Saccharomyces cerevisiae S288C: one gene and its partners. Changing the gene in region 3 together with the main gene of any one other region gives a genetic interaction. Each region holds a gene or a part of one and is shown on either strand. Other genes may lie near its edges.

The links. A genetic interaction does not mean that the proteins touch.
Region 1: mutations in KAR9 (region 3) and ARP1 are lethal when combined (synthetic lethality), as found in Saccharomyces cerevisiae (7 studies listed by BioGRID, with this or other methods).
Region 2: mutations in KAR9 (region 3) and LDB18 together harm fitness more than expected from each alone (negative genetic interaction), as found in Saccharomyces cerevisiae (6 studies listed by BioGRID, with this or other methods).

What each region holds. Positions count from the first base shown.
Region 1 is NC_001140.6:362,499-367,919, reverse strand, and holds ARP1 (actin-related protein 1), read left to right. Parts: upstream 1-3,766; coding exon 3,767-4,921; downstream 4,922-5,421. Other genes in the region: YHR131C (uncharacterized protein), read left to right, coding at 28-2,580; YHR130C (uncharacterized protein), read left to right, coding at 2,620-2,955; FUR1 (uracil phosphoribosyltransferase), read right to left, coding at 5,155-5,421. UniProt on the Saccharomyces cerevisiae protein: Core component of the dynactin complex which assists cytoplasmic dynein by increasing its processivity and by regulation of its cargo binding.
Region 2 is NC_001144.5:36,650-41,705, forward strand, and holds LDB18 (Ldb18p), read left to right. Parts: upstream 1-4,016; coding exon 4,017-4,556; downstream 4,557-5,056. Other genes in the region: FRE6 (putative ferric-chelate reductase), read right to left, coding at 684-2,822; COF1 (cofilin), read right to left, coding at 3,155-3,572, 3,752-3,765; bile acid-transporting ATPase YBT1, read right to left, coding at 4,631-5,056. UniProt on the Saccharomyces cerevisiae protein: May be involved in protein-linked oligosaccharide phosphorylation since the deletion reduces the negative charge of the cell surface.
Region 3 is NC_001148.4:29,174-38,053, forward strand, and holds KAR9 (Kar9p), read left to right. Parts: upstream 1-3,839; coding exon 3,840-5,774; downstream 5,775-8,880. Other genes in the region: ATP15 (F1F0 ATP synthase subunit epsilon), read left to right, coding at 906-1,094; ATP-binding cassette permease MDL2, read left to right, coding at 1,309-3,630; PLC1 (phosphatidylinositol phospholipase C), read left to right, coding at 6,063-8,672. UniProt on the Saccharomyces cerevisiae protein: Involved in karyogamy. Component of a cortical adaptor complex that orients cytoplasmic microtubules. It may be involved in anchoring cytoplasmic microtubules to the cell cortex.

The DNA.
Region 1 (5,421 bases), on a different chromosome or scaffold from region 3:
TGCATACAAGTTGTTCGTTTGTTAAGGATGGCTCTGCCAATAGAGGGCAAATTATCCATGGCAAATAATAGGATCGAAAGGTTAAAATCACCCTCGTCTTCATCAACATGCTCAATGGACGAGGTTCTCATTACTTCAAGCAATAACAGCAGCTCTATATGTTTAGAGACCATGCGTCAACTTCCTCGGGAAGGTGTTTCTGGTCAGATAAATATTATCAAGGAAACTGCAGCTTCGTCCTCTTCTCACGCTGCTCTCTTCATCAAGCAAGATCTTTACGAGCATATAGATCCCCTCCCTGCTTATCCACCGAGCTATGATCTAGTAAATCCCAATAAAGAGGTCCGCTTTCCTATATTTGGTGACACGGCACCATGCCCAAAGTCTTCTCTCCCTCCTTTGTATGCACCTGCAGTATATGAATTGACGTTGATATCCTTAAAATTGGAAAGGCTTTCACCTTATGAAATTTCTAGTAACAGGAGCTGGAGGAATTTCATCATTGAAATTAATTCGACTCAACTAAATTTTTACCATATTGACGAATCTTTGACGAAACACATTAGGAATTATTCAAGCGGGGAAACAAAATCTGAAAAAGAGGATAGAATTCATAGTGACTTGGTCCATCGCAGTGATCAATCACAACATCTGCATCACCGTCTCTTCACTCTACCGACGAGATCAGCTTCGGAGTTTAAAAAAGCAGATCAAGAACGGATCTCTTATAGAGTGAAACGTGATCGATCGCGGTATTTAACCGATGAAGCTCTTTACAAGTCTTTCACTTTACAAAATGCAAGATTTGGGATACCAACGGATTATACCAAGAAGAGTTTTGTGTTAAGAATGTCTTGTGAAAGCGAACAGTTTTTATTACGGTTCTCTCATATAGATGATATGATTGACTGGTCTATGTACCTATCAATCGGGATATCTGTGTCTTTGGACTTGGAAGTCAGGGAGTATCCAGATTATCGAATTGTTCCCAGAAGAAGGAGAAGGAGAAGGAGGAGAAGGAGGAGAAGAAGACACACTCATAGAAGTGAGAGTTCGATGGGGTCTTTTTCGCAGAGATTCATTCGTTCGAATTCCAGACCGGACTTAATCCAAAGATATAGTACCGGGTCTAGCACTAATAACAATACAACTATCAGGGAACGCTCGAATACTTTCACAGCTGGTCTACTAGATCATTACTGCACTGGCCTCTCAAAGACGCCTACAGAGGCATTGATATCTTCGGCTGCATCAGGAGAATCCAGTGATAACAGTACCCTGGGATCAACAAGGTCATTATCTGGTTGCTCAGCTTCCCGTTCGATTGCATCTAGAAGTTTAAAATTTAAAATTAAGAACTTTTTCAGGCCTAAAAATTCTTCACGCACAGAAAAGCTTCACAGACTCAGGTCCAACTCAAGTAACTTAAATAGTGTTATTGAAACGGAAGAAGATGATGAACACCATGAATCAAGCGGGGGAGATCATCCAGAGCCTGGTGTTCCAGTAAATACCACCATTAAAGTAGAGCGTCCAATGCACAGAAATAGAGCTATTTCCATGCCCCAAAGACAGTCATTGAGGCGTGCAATTAGCGAGGAGGTTGTCCCCATCAAATTTCCAAATAGCACAGTGGGTGAATCAGTTCATTCACCCTCTCCTATTGAGCATCTTTCCGTTGATGGCTGCGAGATTATGCTGCAATCACAAAATGCGGTTATGAAAGAGGAATTACGGAGTGTTGCGTCGAATTTGGTAGCCAATGAAAGGGATGAGGCATCTATTAGACCTAAACCTCAAAGCTCTTCGATATACCTATCAGGATTAGCTCCTAATGGGGAATCCGCCACAGATTTATCCCAAAGCAGTAGGTCGTTATGTCTCACAAACCGTGACGCTGAAATCAATGACGATGAAAGCGCTACTGAGACCGATGAGGACGAAAATGACGGTGAAACCGATGAATATGCTGGCGATGATACTAATGATGATACTGATGACAGTAATATTGGTTATGCTTATGGCAGTGAAAGTGATTATTCATGTTTAATTGAAGAACGAATAAGAAATCGAAGGCGAGCATCTTCTACTCTAAGTTGCTTCTCCAATATACCTTACGGAACGGATGATATTAAATGGAAACCAGCTATTAAGGAAATTTCAAGAAGGCGTTATTTGAGGGATTCTCTGAAGTGCATCAAACCATTTCTAGATAGTAACGACTGTTTGGGTAAGGTTATCTATATTCCAGTTTCGGGACCAACCTTTGAAACAAGTAATAAAATTCACTTTAGCAACCGCCAGAGCTTACAGAAGCAGAAGAATCATTTTTTAAAAGGCTTCATCGTGGGACCTACGGCGTTGATAGAACTTAATTGTAAAAATAAGAATGCAATTGTTGGAACAACAAAGGACGCTGAAGATCATGGGGAGGACGACGGTGACGGTGATGATGGTGAGGATGATGATGACGACGACGACGATGATGATGATGATGACGACGACGAAGACGACGACGATGATGATGATGATGATGATGACGACGACGATGACGATGATGATGGACAGATTACTGCATAAGCTGTGATGCAGTAATCTTGTTTTTGCAGAATTAATATCATGACTAAAAGTATATATATTATCATCGGATATATGCTACATGATGAGGAGTTTTTCTATTTCTTTTTTATTTCATTCTATACACTTTGGATCGTGTTTTTTCTTTTGCACTTGAGTTTCTTTTCAACATTATCATTCGGTATATTTCACGATTTTGACACCGATGTTTACATAAAAGTGGGTAATTATATTTTGCATTTTCTCGAATTGAGTAAAAATAGTAACCTTTTAAAGAATTCTTCAGAAATGTTAAAGCATTTCCGATTGGCATCATTGATGTATATGTACGTATATACTCAGATGATTTGCCCCTCGTTACTTGGCATCAGGAATTAGCAAGGGCTGTAAAAAATAAGTTTAAATATATATAAATGGTTGCGAACTAAGACAGTATTGTTTTCAACTATTACTTTGTCATTGACTAGTCTATACAAACTAATGATTTTCTACTAGGTCTTACTTCGATTTCTCGACACCGTACTCCAAGAGCTAAAGCTTTCAATACGTATGGATTGCTTCGTTGCTCAGAAAGGTTAACATTAATCATTTTAAGGTTTTTGTTTATAGACAGTACTTTATTTTCGCTTCATTTTTCCAGTTTATATTTCAATTTAACAAAGGCAATGCCTCTAATTTCAAACAAGCAACATAATACAGTATTTATTGATCAACGTTTGATTAGAAGTTGAATTTTGAATGGGTATCGTCTGGTAATTCCAAAGAATAAAAGAAATACCTGTTTTACCATGATAAACAGTGTTTATTATACCACGTTAAAAATCATTTCTTGAAGGTAACGCTTTCATCAACCTATAATAAGACTACAGAAAAAAGCTCATAAAAGAATGCTAAGTAGCATAATGTTCTGAACAAGAGCTCAAAGCAAAGGACACAGTACACCTGTGTGACGGTGAGTTTCCTATTGCCTTCTCTTTTTCCGTTTGTATTAATCTTTTCAAGAAAAAGTTCATTTCCAAAGTGGCCATTTTCGCGATGCACATCAATAATGATAAACACCTTTATTGAATAATAGCGAAGCAAATAGCAGATATTCCCAATAAAACAGCAAATTAATAAAAGGGCATAGACCAAGGAGTACATGCTAATGCTATACCACGAATTGAGGAATTAGAAAGAAAGTTAGCCAATGGACCAGCTAAGTGACAGCTATGCTTTGTACAATCAACCGGTAGTGATCGACAATGGTTCTGGGATCATAAAAGCAGGATTTAGTGGTGAGGAAAGGCCTAAAGCACTGGAATATTGTCTCGTAGGAAATACCAAATATGATAAAGTTATGCTCGAAGGTCTGCAAGGAGATACATTTATTGGAAACAATGCCCAAAAACTGCGTGGATTATTAAAATTACGATACCCCATAAAGCACGGCGTGGTGGAAGATTGGGATTCTATGGAACTAATATGGTCATATGTGTTAAATGAAGTCCTACAGTTGCAAAATATAGGTGAGCATCCTTTATTAATTACGGAAGCCCCGATGAATCCTTTGAAGAATAGAGAGCAGATGGCTCAAGTATTGTTCGAGACCTTTGACGTATCGGCTTTGTACGTTTCAAACCCTGCTGTTCTGTCATTATATGCTAGTGGGAGAACTACAGGTTGTGTAGTTGACTGTGGTGAAGGATACTGTAGCACTGTTCCCATATATGACGGCTTTGCATTACCTGCGTCTATGATGAGGATGGATATTGGAGGAGCAGATATCACAGAGCAGTTACAATTTCAACTACGGAAATCAGCTGGTGTTTCGTTGTTTTCCAGCAGTGAACGAGAGATTGTTCGCACGATGAAAGAGAAAGTTTGTTATTTGGCCAAGAATATTAAAAAGGAAGAGGAGAAATACTTACAAGGTACTCAAGATTTAATCTCGACATTCAAATTGCCCGACGGGAGGTGTATAGAGGTGGGGAATGATCGATATCGTGCTCCAGAAATATTATTTTCACCTCAAATCATCGGCTTAGGGTACGATGGATTATCTGATATGTGCATGCAATCTATTTGGAAAGTCGATCTGGATTTAAGGAAACCTTTACTGTCATCGATAATCCTAAGTGGCGGAACTACAACGCTTAAAGGCTTTGGAGACCGAATGCTATGGGATTTGGAGGCATTAACCAAAGGAACATCCAAGATAAAGATTATAGCCCCTTCAGAAAGAAAATATACTACATGGATTGGTGGTTCTATTTTAACGGGGTTATCTACCTTTCAAAGACTTTGGACCAAAAAGTCAGATTGGCTAGAGGACAGTACCCGTGTTTATTCGAACCTAATGTAAGAAACAGAGTCGTTAGATTTTTCAAGCATATTTGTTATAAATAGCCATTGATACGTTTATATTATTTTTACAAAAAAAGGTAATTAAACATGCATGAACAACAAAATTGATAGTAGAAGAGACGGCAACAAAGGTTTAAAACGAGAAAGGAAATTTAAAACAGTAGAAACCAAAAGTTGATATGCGGCTTCAGCCGTTCTGAACCTTCAAGATGGTGTTCGGGTGTGATTTATTTAAACACAGTAGTATCTGTCACCAAAGTCACCCAACCCTGGAACTAGATACTTGTTTTCATCTAGACCTCTGTCGAGGGCACCAGTAACAATTCTGACCTCTGGGAAGGCGGCATGGTATTTTTCAATCCCTTCCTTACTACAGATTAGGTTTAAGAAGTAAATTCTCTCTGGCTTAACACCTCTCTTAATCAAGACTTCTGTAGCCATGATAGCACTACCACCGGTGGCCAGCATTGGGTCTAATAGGAAGACATACCTTTCAGA
Region 2 (5,056 bases), on a different chromosome or scaffold from region 3:
TAGGAGTTTAAAGAAAAACATCTAGAAGGATTGGAGGAGGTAAGTCATTATTATGGCGGTGCTCTTTTAGCGGGAAAAAAAAAAATACACCTACGACGTTAAAACAGATCGTGCTGTCGTCTCAGCGGCAGTAAAAGTACTGTAGTAGTTACGGTGCACGCAGATGCAATGCTAATTAAATAATCATGCTCCCATTTTTAAGAAGCAGAAAAAGGCCGCAGTAATTTGAGCCGTGAAAAGATTTCGGAGGGTTGATTCTTAACATTTTCCAAAAAAATGTCCTTTGGTCTGTTTGCTTGGGTCTGAAAAGAAGGACTGCAGCGCCACCTCCACTGGTTAAGGACAAAATCCATACTTATTCCATCTTTCTCGGGACATATTTTCCTGAGACAAAAGACCGTAGAACTTCAAAGACTCGTTCCCAGAAAGGGATTTAGAGTTAATTTTTGCTCGGCATCAAGCCGGAAAAATTCAGGCGCCGCTTAGTAATTAATTGCAAGTAAAGAAGTACCGGATTTATTAGACATCGTCTTAGCAAGCAAATTCCTGAAAGCTAAAACGCAAATAATTAACTAAAAATAGTTGCTAAAGAGCACCTTTTATGCGGTACATAAAAGTTTTTAGTGCCGTAGATATATGTAGATATAGGTGGGCGTAGGATCAGAAGGAGCCGGAGAGAAGATTTACCAACACTGATATTCCTCGAAATACTCTATAATTCTCTCTGGGTAACCGAGGAGTTTTTGAGAAACGGTGTTTCTAACATCGTCCACCAGAACAGGAGGGCCGCAGCACACGACCGCTAATGAATCTCCAGGCGGCGTACTTTTTATTGCGTTTTCAATTACATTGCTAAAATTAGGTCTTGCATTGCCGATGTGGGCGAAGCTTGTCAGTTCGGTCATTATATCATCAAAATGTATTAATTGGTCTCGTGCGTTTGCTGCCTTTGTAACAGCTGTTTTCTGTGTAAGGTAAACCTGCACGTTGACGTGGGATCGGCTATTTTTTAGCTCTAGTATCTCGGATTTATAGCCGTTAAGAAAAGAAGGATTTTTGATCGCCATGATCAAATCTATACTCTTGGGTTTATCAGGGTTTCGTGACAGCTTAATGGCATGATCTAATGGACCAGGCAAGCCTGTTCCTCCACTTAGTAACAGCAAATGGTCGAATTTATCGAGGTGAAGATTACTGGGCCCATAAGGTCCCTCAATGGCCACTCGGAGTTGTAATTTACCATTTAAAGATTGCAAAATATGGTTATAAATGAATCTAGTGAGACCACTTTTAGGTTTGATCACTAAAACACACTTCTCACCTTCGTCGATAATGGTAAATGGATGGCATTGCCAAAATACCAATGGATGTAAAAAATAAATGAAACAATATTGACCCGGTTTCGAATGCCATCTCCGGTTATATTTGGGTATGATTACTTTAAACATTTCATCGTGCGGGTTGTTGCTGGTGTTCAAATTGATTAGTGTTGCTTTCGGAAATCTAAACTGCAAAATGTTCCATATTCTGAAAAGCTTTTCCAGCCCCCAAATGAGCAAGGATACCACTATCCATTCTTTCCAACCGTTGAAAATTTTGACGTGTTGCCAACAACAGTAAAAGAACAAAAGGGCTAGTATGATGTGGGTGTACAGGAAAAATTCGTAATGTCTTTTCCTTACTATTCCGAGCGATAGAACTAGTAGAACGCAAAGCACTGTTATGGATGCAATACCAAACTTCCAATAGAGCTGTTTGTTGCTTATTTTGAAGGCATGGTTGATAATTGCGAATAATGAATAAGAAAGCGAATGTATCGTTGCGTTTAAGACCATGATTCTACCGATCCATTTATGGAAACTAATAAAGGAATTGAACTTGACTCCTGTTAAAAATTCGAGAAAACTATTCCTTGCCGTAAAAATGATAATGAGAGGGAACTGAGTAAACGCCAGTATCCCAGATCTATCAGCCAACAGTCTTGTAAACTGCGACAGGTGACTGTTGAAAATGAGGTTATATGGGTCTATGATGTAACTTATGGACAAAAATATGATGTTCGCCAATGTGTATCCAAAAATGATCCATGCCTCCAAGGAATTCGGCATCAGTCCCGTAAAGACTTCCACGTTTAGAAACTTGAAGTGATTAGCGTGCTTATCTACTAAAAACGTAGGCAACACAAAATGGCCCCGAATATAATTGACGAACCGGCTTGCAAATAGCGCTCGATTCAGGCCGTTATAGTGACTCATATGGAAGAAGACGGCGATAATACCCACTATGACGAAGTAGTAAGTTAAATATGCACCATAAACACTGCTGATATCTAAATTATAGGCATGCGCATGAAAAGCTCGTATCCATCTAGATCTTGTCTCACGATCGACTCGAATGGATGTCGATAAACTTTCAATAGAACCATAGTCTTCCAAAGCGTGAGAAGAAGCATTATTTAAAGATGAGTAGTATTGCTCCAGTGAAATATTGCTAAACTTTTTATCGACAAACGAGCACGTTTTTCGTACGTTACCCAAGCTTTCTTCGAAACTTGTGTTGTCCATGGGAATAATCTGGTCTGTAAGCGAATTGAAGATACAAAGTGACCAAGTATCAAACGCTGGTGAATAAGAGCATATGGTAGAATAGAAACCCGGTACGACGGAGCTATCAAATGACCACTTCAGAGTATTTATATAGGATGCGCATGCCAGCACAGCGTTGGATTCCAAATGGTCTTTTTTTTCAGTGTGTGGTAATTTTATATTAAAAGCCTTTGTTAAAGATATCAGCCACGTTAAAAACAGAAGCGTTCTATGCATATTCAACGAGCTATGGTCGTCATGCTTCACTTTAGAAGATTATAGAAAAATCATTGCTGCCTGGTTCGATGACCTTGTATCTTTTCTTGATCTACATGGCCAGTATTTCCGTTCTGAATTTAGAATTACAAATATGGGTGCAAAAACAATGCCCACTAGCCGGGGTGTACGGGACCTTAAATCTAAGTATTGTGTTTTAGATAGAGTTGCGAAGAGAAAATTATAATTATAATAATTCTATACATGTATTCTGTATATATATGACGATTTTATATATAGATATACATTTTCATTTTTCTTGAAGATTGTTGTCATTTGTGAAATCATTTACCTTAATGAGAACCAGCGCCTCTGCTGACTCTTTCCAAAACAGAATCGTAAGAAACTTCGGAAAAATCAGTACCTTGAACATCGGTAGAGACACCGTTTAAGGCTCTTCTTAAGGCATCCTTGGAGGATGCATAGACCATCTTAGATCTGACTGGAGCAGTGTCTGGAGACCAAGTGAAGAAAACAATCTTGGATCTCTTACCTTCATTACCATTAATTTCGTATTCAAAATCGTAAATGGCGTAAAGACAGTCGTTTTCTGGCAATTTCTCTAAGAAGGCATCGTAAGATGGGTCAGTAGAGGTTTCCTTGACAACGATTTCGGTTTTAGCATCGTTCAATCCGAATAAAATAAATTTGTATTTTTTACCCAATTTCAAGTCATTGAAAGCGGTAAGGGATTCATCAGCAACAGCAACACTACACAGAAACTTCACATTTTCCTGGCTTCTTATGAATTTTTTCCCCCACATTCCTTTTAAAGTTCCATGTTAAAAAGGGAGGAAAGAAAGGACATAAGAGAGCGAGATAAAACAGCATCATGTCAATTAGTTAGTAATTGATAGTTTACACAGGAGTACAAATGAAATTTAGCATACCCAGATCTAGACATCTTCTTTTGTTAGTTTTTTGTTTATGTATGTTTTGAAATCTGAAGTTTACGTAGTTGCTAACCAGTCTTTTCTTGTTTCCTCTTTTTCTTCCAATTTTGTCATCAAACAGGGGCGGCGTCACCCGAATATTGTTCTTATTACCCGGATATTAGGTAATTTAGAGGTACTGCATATAGTATAAGTGATTGATGAACTTATAGAATGTTCTCTCGAGCTTCCAAGGCCATTAGCCTCTACCAAAGGAAGTTTGATGCCTGGTCTTAAGCTTGTTGAAGCTTTAGAATACAGGTGTGACCGATTGGAGCGGCTTATAGGCGCCGGATACAGCGCGAATTCCGATGTTTCAGTGCAATTAGATGAACTATACAATCAGTTACATCGTCTATATTTCCAGGGTCTAAAGTATTCTCAAGATCTCCTGCAACTCTTTAATACTTTCATGGCTGAAGACATCGAGAACGTGGGAGCTCCTGATGATATTTGTATTTTTGCTAGTTGCTTTGACGATATTTATACATTATATAGTGCATTTGACGAACTAAACAGCCAATATATGGAGTTTTGCCAAATCAGTAAAAGTTCATTGGATCAGATTTCCTTCAAAGACGCAAATATTGAAACGAAACAGTTGAAGAAGTTACCCGAGTTGGTGGATAACTGCAACATAATGATTTTGAGGTCAATTGCAATTCTAAACCGTTTCATCGACTGGAATATTGAAGTTAACGGATTCTTCCAGTTCCAGAAAAAGAGGCTGTTGAATTTACAAAAGGTAATTTATAGTACGTGAACATGTGTGCGTATATACATATATATATATATATATATATATATATATATATATATACTTTAGCATCGAAACAGCTAGTCCTTTTTAGAGTTCAATTTTTCCACAAAGGCTTTTTTAGCCAATTCAATTAGGATATCCAATTCTCCACTATGCTCACACATGCTATAAAAGGCACTTTGTTTGTTAAGTAACAAAGAATATGGGTGATCATACTCTTTTACCTCACCTGCATCCATCACCAAAATTTTATCATAATCGATAACAGATCTCAACCTATGTGCAATTGTCAAAATTGTACTACCTTGGAACTCTTTTCTTATGGTTTCTTGGATCTTCGCATCGGAACTGTAGTCGATGGACGCTGTAGCTTCGTCCAGCAATATGATCTTTGGACTCCTCAGTAAAGATCTAGCAAGGCACATCAATTGGCGCTGTCCTTGAGACAAATTGGATCCACCTTCGCTAATTTCACTACTTAAATCCAAGAATTTATTAACATT
Region 3 (8,880 bases):
CCATAGCCATCTGCACATTCTAATATAGATTATATTACTTTAGACCATGTCATTTCATAATCGTTGGTTTAAGCGGTGTTGTTTCCACAGTTTGTATGAGAACTTTTGTCCAAAGTAAAGTATCAGTAACGTAATCTGAGCAAACCTACATTAAATCGTAACTCCGCGAGATTCTTTTGTTCAGGTGGATCAGCGGCGTGGTTTACTTCCGATTTGCTCATCGTGCGCATAGCAGCATTTATTCCTCTAATTCGCTCGATAATCAACCTTTCCGCACTACGACGGTGGCAATAGTTGGACCTTAAGATATGCCTATCTGAATACAATTCTTCAACTCACATCAGTGGGACACTAAATAAAGCATATGGTATGAAATACTATGAATTATTGAATTATTGGCAGACACAGCAGCGACAAGTCAGAGTGCTTACAAAAAAAAAAGAGTTGATCCGGCTAAAGAAAGTCTGATTTACGTATTTATCCAGGTTCAAACGGATTGCCAAAAATAGTCGATAACCTCGGAGTAAGCAAAGCAACAATATATTTGTTCTTCGAAAAGGTAAACTTCTTAACTTCTATAGAAGCATTGTACTAGTTCTCTCGAAGAAAAAAACTAAGAAAGCTATAGCTGTATCTTACCAAGCCATGAACTTGAGGAATTGGTAATCCTTATTAGGAAATACGCTAAACTAGGTAATAGCAGATGATTTACTAGCTTACTATCTCACACTAAGTCTGGCAACGCGCTTATTTTTTAATACTTTTATACGAACCAATGAAATTTGATCCTCCCCTTTTTCGTCTAGTTAAATGAAGAGATACAAGTAGGCCTTTCTATTGAGTACTTAGCAAGATATGTATTTCTAAGAAACATCAACAGTTTCAGCCCACAACCGATTCATAAAATGTCTGCCTGGAGGAAAGCTGGTATATCATATGCTGCATATTTGAATGTGGCCGCTCAGGCTATCCGTTCTTCATTGAAAACTGAATTACAAACCGCTAGTGTTCTTAACAGATCGCAAACAGATGCTTTTTATACCCAATATAAAAATGGCACTGCAGCTTCTGAACCCACTCCAATAACAAAATAGTTTAACGCTTCCTGGGAACTGCAGCTCTTTTTTTACTCGCTGATATACATTTTAAATATTCTAGCAACTGTGTATGAAAACTTACGTACTTTTATACGGGAAACTAATAATGACTACAATGATATTGAATACTGGCCGCTTCGAAGAGTGGTATAAAGTTTGTATCATTGCATTAAAAGAAAAAGAAATATATGTCCCATCATCGCCAATCGCAATGTTGAATGGTCGTTTACCACTTTTGCGGCTGGGCATATGCAGAAACATGCTGTCCCGTCCCCGACTGGCTAAACTGCCATCTATAAGGTTTCGGTCTTTGGTCACCCCTTCTTCATCGCAGCTCATTCCTCTCAGTCGGTTGTGTTTAAGGTCACCTGCAGTTGGAAAATCACTAATTTTACAAAGTTTTAGATGTAATTCATCCAAAACAGTTCCAGAAACTTCTCTGCCTTCAGCCTCTCCCATATCTAAAGGATCAGCAAGGTCGGCACATGCAAAGGAGCAATCTAAAACTGATGACTATAAAGATATAATAAGGTTATTTATGTTGGCGAAACGGGATTGGAAACTGCTTCTTACAGCCATACTTCTTTTAACCATATCATGTTCCATAGGCATGTCTATTCCTAAAGTCATAGGTATTGTCCTTGACACACTTAAGACGTCATCTGGATCAGATTTTTTTGATTTGAAGATACCGATTTTTTCTTTGCCTTTATATGAGTTTCTTTCCTTTTTTACTGTTGCTTTACTGATTGGTTGTGCTGCTAATTTTGGTAGATTTATATTATTGAGGATACTAAGTGAGCGTGTTGTTGCACGCCTAAGGGCAAATGTCATTAAAAAAACGCTTCATCAAGACGCAGAATTCTTCGACAACCATAAAGTTGGGGATTTAATTTCTCGTTTAGGATCTGATGCTTATGTTGTTTCAAGATCAATGACCCAGAAGGTCTCGGATGGGGTCAAAGCCCTAATTTGTGGGGTTGTTGGCGTGGGGATGATGTGTTCTTTGTCACCTCAACTATCAATATTGTTACTATTCTTCACTCCACCTGTTCTTTTTAGTGCCTCAGTGTTCGGGAAGCAAATTAGAAACACCTCTAAAGACCTTCAAGAAGCTACTGGTCAATTGACTAGAGTCGCTGAAGAACAACTCTCTGGTATCAAGACGGTTCAGTCGTTTGTTGCTGAAGGTAATGAATTGTCTAGGTATAACGTTGCAATTAGAGATATTTTTCAGGTGGGAAAAACTGCGGCATTTACAAACGCAAAGTTTTTTACTACAACTAGTCTCTTAGGTGACCTAAGTTTTTTAACCGTCCTTGCGTATGGCTCCTATCTTGTTTTACAATCACAGCTCTCCATTGGTGATCTGACTGCATTTATGCTGTACACAGAATATACGGGGAATGCGGTATTCGGCCTTTCTACCTTCTATTCGGAAATTATGCAGGGTGCTGGGGCCGCTTCCAGGTTGTTTGAATTAACAGATAGGAAACCTTCCATTTCACCGACTGTGGGACACAAGTATAAACCAGATCGTGGTGTTATCGAATTTAAAGATGTTTCATTTAGCTACCCTACAAGGCCTTCTGTTCAAATATTCAAGAATTTAAATTTTAAAATTGCGCCAGGATCGAGTGTTTGTATTGTGGGCCCTTCAGGTCGTGGTAAATCTACAATTGCACTCTTACTGCTAAGATATTATAATCCCACTACTGGGACTATTACGATAGATAACCAAGATATCTCTAAATTGAATTGTAAATCCCTAAGAAGGCATATTGGTATCGTTCAGCAAGAGCCGGTACTGATGTCAGGTACTATTAGGGATAATATCACTTATGGGTTGACATATACCCCAACAAAGGAAGAAATCAGGTCAGTAGCAAAGCAGTGCTTTTGCCATAACTTTATCACAAAATTTCCGAACACATACGATACGGTAATTGGTCCTCACGGCACCTTACTAAGTGGAGGACAAAAGCAGCGTATTGCGATTGCAAGGGCTCTAATCAAAAAGCCAACTATTTTGATTCTTGATGAAGCTACATCAGCTTTAGATGTTGAAAGTGAAGGAGCCATTAACTATACGTTTGGTCAACTAATGAAATCAAAATCGATGACTATTGTTAGCATCGCGCACAGGCTAAGTACGATCAGAAGATCAGAGAATGTTATTGTCCTTGGCCATGATGGATCAGTGGTAGAAATGGGCAAATTCAAAGAATTGTATGCGAATCCAACAAGTGCTTTATCGCAATTACTTAATGAGAAAGCGGCTCCTGGGCCATCTGACCAACAACTGCAAATAGAGAAGGTCATCGAAAAGGAAGATTTGAATGAGAGTAAGGAGCATGATGACCAGAAAAAGGACGATAATGACGATAATGATAATAATCATGATAACGACAGCAATAACCAGTCTCCAGAGACGAAAGACAATAATTCAGATGATATTGAAAAATCTGTCGAACATCTCCTGAAAGACGCGGCAAAGGAGGCTAATCCAATTAAGATCACACCACAACCGTGAGTCATCCGCATCGCATATACCCATTCTTATCTCGCACATTTAAATATATACTATATATAATACTGTTAAATGCCAAATAAAAAGGATTTTCATTACCCGAATCGATACTTTTGGTAGCATAAACAAATAACATTGAAACAATAACAAAGTGTAATGTGGCCGCACGAATCTTTGTCTGTAACAGCCTTAAAGATTTCAGTAGCACTGCCATGGATAATGATGGACCCAGATCTATGACCATTGGGGATGACTTCCAAGAGAACTTTTGTGAACGTTTAGAAAGAATTCACAATACATTACATTCAATAAACGATTGCAACTCATTGAATGAGAGTACCACAAGTATATCAGAGACATTGTTAGTTCAATTTTATGATGATTTGGAGAACGTTGCCTCGGTAATTCCCGACTTAGTCAACAAGAAAAGACTGGGAAAAGACGATATTTTGTTGTTTATGGACTGGTTATTATTGAAAAAATATATGCTATATCAATTTATTAGTGACGTTCATAATATTGAGGAAGGTTTTGCTCATTTGTTGGATTTACTAGAGGATGAATTCTCGAAGGACGATCAGGATAGCGACAAATACAATCGATTTAGCCCGATGTTTGACGTCATAGAAGAATCTACACAAATTAAGACTCAGTTGGAGCCATGGCTTACTAACTTGAAGGAATTATTGGATACGTCATTGGAATTTAACGAAATTTCAAAGGATCATATGGATACATTACATAAAATCATTAATAGCAATATATCGTATTGTCTGGAAATTCAGGAAGAAAGGTTCGCGTCCCCGATACGGCATACTCCATCATTTACCCTAGAACAACTAGTCAAGTTATTAGGAACGCATACGGAGACAACTGAGCCAAAGGTACCAAAATTTTCTCCGGCAGAAGATATTTTATCAAGAAAGTTCTTGAACCTAAAAAAAAATATCCCTCCAATTGAAAAAAGTTTGACTGATATCCTACCTCAAAGAATTGTGCAATTTGGGCACCGGAATATAACAAACATAACTACTTTGCAAACAATCTTGCAAAAAAAATACGAGCTGATAATGAAAGATTATAGATTTATGAATTCAGAGTTTAGGGAATTGAAAGTCGAACTAATCGACAAACGTTGGAATATACTCTTTATTAATTTAAATCATGAACTATTATACATTCTTGATGAGATAGAAAGGTTGCAGTCGAAATTACTGACAACAAAGTATACCAAAGATATCACTATAAGGCTCGAGAGGCAATTGGAGAGAAAATCAAAAACTGTTTCTAAGACATTCAATATTATTTACAGAGCATTGGAATTCTCACTTTTGGACGCTGGCGTCGCATCGAAGACAAATGAATTAGCTCAAAGATGGCTGAATATCAAGCCTACAGCGGATAAAATTCTAATCAAATCCTCCGCTTCAAACAAAATAGCTACTAGCAAGAAGAAGATTCCAAAACCGAAATCATTAGGCTTTGGGCGACCGAATAGTGTTATTGGAACTATAACCCAGGATTTCCAGGAGAGAGTCGCCATTAATGAAGGTGACAGTAATAAAACACCGGAAAATTCAACTACAGTGGCTTTGAAAGGTAAAAAGCTTGGTAAAGCGTTACTGCAGAAGATGAATATTAAACCTGCAACAAGCCCAAATTCATCAAATGCGATTAATCCATTTTTTGATCCGGAGTCGCCAAACAAAGGAAAACTGATACTAAGTAGTGTTCCTCCCTTACCTTATGACGAAACCGATGAAACCACCCTCCGTGTTTCTCGTGGGGAAAATGAAAAGTCACCAGACTCCTTCATTACATCTCGGCATGAAAATAAAGTACAGATTACAGAAACTCCTTTGATGGCAAAGAATAAGTCTGTGCTTGACATCGAAAAAGATAAATGGAATCATTACCGGTCCTTGCCCTCTAGGATCCCTATATACAAGGATAAAGTGGTGAAAGTCACCGTAGAAAACACACCGATAGCAAAGGTTTTCCAGACTCCGCCAACAAAAATCACGACACCTAATAGTCAAGTTTGGGTCCCTTCGACAAGAAGAAGAACCCGATTGAGGCCTCCCACCCCCTTATCACAGTTACTTTCACCAAGAGAAGGGCGTTTAGATAAAACCCCAACTTATTGATACTAACCTAAAACTGTATACTTATACATTTTTATATATCCTCCCTCTCACCCTCTCCATTCATAGAATTTGTAATACTAGTTTAAATAATGTAATATTATGTGTAATTTTAAATAGTCCATGAAGATTCCGCACGTTTTCATTTTACAGTTTTTGACACCTTTACCCGACGCTTTATAAAAAAAATAGTATAAGCATCACGACATAAGCAGCCTCAGGTCATTAAAACAATAAAAGACTGGGAATTATAAACGTACAACGGTAAGGTCATTCACGCAGTGTATATGAATGACTGAAAGTGCTATAGATGACCAAAGGTTTAATCTTACAAAGGAGTTACAACGACACTCATGCAGAGATCAAGGGAAAATAACACAAAAGGATGATGCTTTAGATTTTATAAGTTACAGTTCTTTTCAATCCTCTTTTAATACTGACCAAAAAAGCGCGAACAATGGAAGTACTGTGAGAAGAAGCATAAGGTCGATTTTTAGAAGAGCAGCCGAATTGCCTAGAGTCCATATGGGGCCTCTTACTTATTCACATGGGATAAATGAGCTTGTTAACAAGAAATTAAGAAAAGACTGTGATCTCAGCACGCTATGTCGCGTATTGCAAAGAGGAATCAGGATGATTAGGATGACAAGAAGAAGAAGGAAGTTCTATGAATTTAAATTAATCAATAACAACGGGCAAATAATATGGAAAGATGGTTCGAAGTATCTGGAATTAGACTCCGTTAAAGACATCAGAATCGGTGATACGGCGAGTACTTATCAAGAGGAAGTAGATCCGAAAAGATTGAGATCGGACAGTAAACTTTGGATTGCTATTATTTATAAGGTTTCCAACAAATTGAAAGCGTTACACGTAGTTGCTTTGAATGAATTGGACTTTAACACATTCTTAAGCTGCATTTGCGGTTTAGTGAAGTTAAGGAGGGAATTAATGGAAAGCATACTTTTGCCTGATAATTCGCAATTCGCTAGGATACATTGGCAAATTACTGTTTCTGAAAAAGAGGAAGATGAGAAAAAGGACACATTGAGCTTTGCAGATGTGAAGAAACTATGTGATAAATTTCATATTTATGTGTCAACTGGTCAATTGTTAGAGTTTTTCCAATTAGCAGACATCAATCATAACGGACTATTAAATTATTTTGAATTTGAAAAGTTCATTAAAATCTTAAAGAATAGGAAAGAGGTAAATATGATTTGGTCTAAATTTACAAAACCTCCACACTCCCACTTATCATTTGAAAATTTTTTTCAATTTTTAATTACAGAGCAGCATGAGCAAGTGGATCGTCAAACTGCATGGTCATATTTTATTAAGTACAGAGAACCGACTCAGCTGACGATGGGGCAAGATGGTTTTACCAAGTTCTTGAAGGAGCAACCATATTTGGTGGAGGTTAAAGAGGAGTTATATTCAAAGCCATTAAACCATTATTTTATTGCATCTTCACATAATACTTATTTATTGGGGAAACAAATTGCAGAAACTCCATCTGTGGAGGGATATATTCAAGTCCTACAACAAGGTTGTAGGTGCGTAGAAATTGATATATGGGATGGTGAAAATGGGCCAGTGGTATGCCATGGATTTTTAACGTCAGCTATTCCCTTAAAAACAGTTATACGCGTGATAAAGAAGTACGCTTTTATAACGTCTCCGTATCCTTTGATTATTTCACTGGAAATAAACTGTAACAAGGATAATCAAAAATTGGCAAGCCTGATAATGAGAGAGGTTTTAGCAGAACAGCTGTACTTTGTTGGCACAAGAACTGATAAACTGCCATCACCAAGGGAATTAAAACATAAAATACTGTTGAAATCCAAGAAGACGAGTGAAGCAACTAGAGGTCTTAGCGTTAATGAGCCATTTCCATCTTCTTTTAGTTCTTCTTACGAATCAGCTAATGAACAGGAATTAAGAATGAAAGATGACTCCACGAACAGTAGTAGCGCAACAAATTCTTCTAGTATGCAACGCATCAAAAGAATTGGATTAAAAAAGCACGCTGATATAATTAATGATGTTTCTAACATTTCTGGAATACATGGCATCAAGTTCAGGAATTTCTCTTTACCAGAGTCCAAAACGATAGCGCATTGTTTTTCACTGAATGAGCGCAAAGTAGAATACATGATAAAAGACAAACACTTAAAATTATCGTTGGATAAACATAATAGAAGATATTTGATGAGAGTCTATCCTCACGTTTTACGATACAAATCATCAAATTTTAACCCAATACCTTTTTGGAAGGCCGGTGTACAAATGGTGGCTACGAATTGGCAAACTAATGATATTGGACAGCAACTTAATCTGGCAATGTTTCAAATATTAGATCACCAACCTGATGGAAGTTTTAAATCAGGATACGTGCTAAAACCAAAAAAGTTGCTACCTGTAGTAACAAAGGCGAAAATGATTCCATTAATTTACGAACATTTTGAAAATGGTAGTGATCCTGTTACTGTTAAAATTCGAATTTTATCTACACAGTTATTGCCCAGATTGAATGATACATCGCCAAGCAGAAATAACACCAATTCCTTTGTTAAAGTGGAGTTTCATACCGATGACGAGCCGACAATGCCCATCTCAATCGATAAGGGTACAAGGATTTCTGCCACTGAAGCATCCACTAAGAGTTCTCAAGGGAATGGATTCAACCCAATATGGGATGCTGAAGTTTCTATCACATTGAAAGATACAGACCTCACATTTATAAAATTCATGGTTATCTCTGAAGAGACCCAGATTGCATCTGTTTGCCTTAAGCTGAACTATTTGAGGATGGGATATCGTCACATTCCGTTGTTTAACATGGAGGGGGAACAATACATATTTTGCACTTTATTTATTCATACACAAATTTTATAGGCGATCTTTTTCCGGCCAAATACACATATTCATAAATACGTACATATACCTACTTGCATATACCAACATGATTACCTAGAATGGATATATCAAATGGGACGACGAAGTACCACGACAATACACAATAACAACTTCTGTTTTTCGCTGATTGCCTTCTCTTCAGCAGAAAGTTGATGCATATTTCGCGTAGCGCGTTGACGCGTCTTCT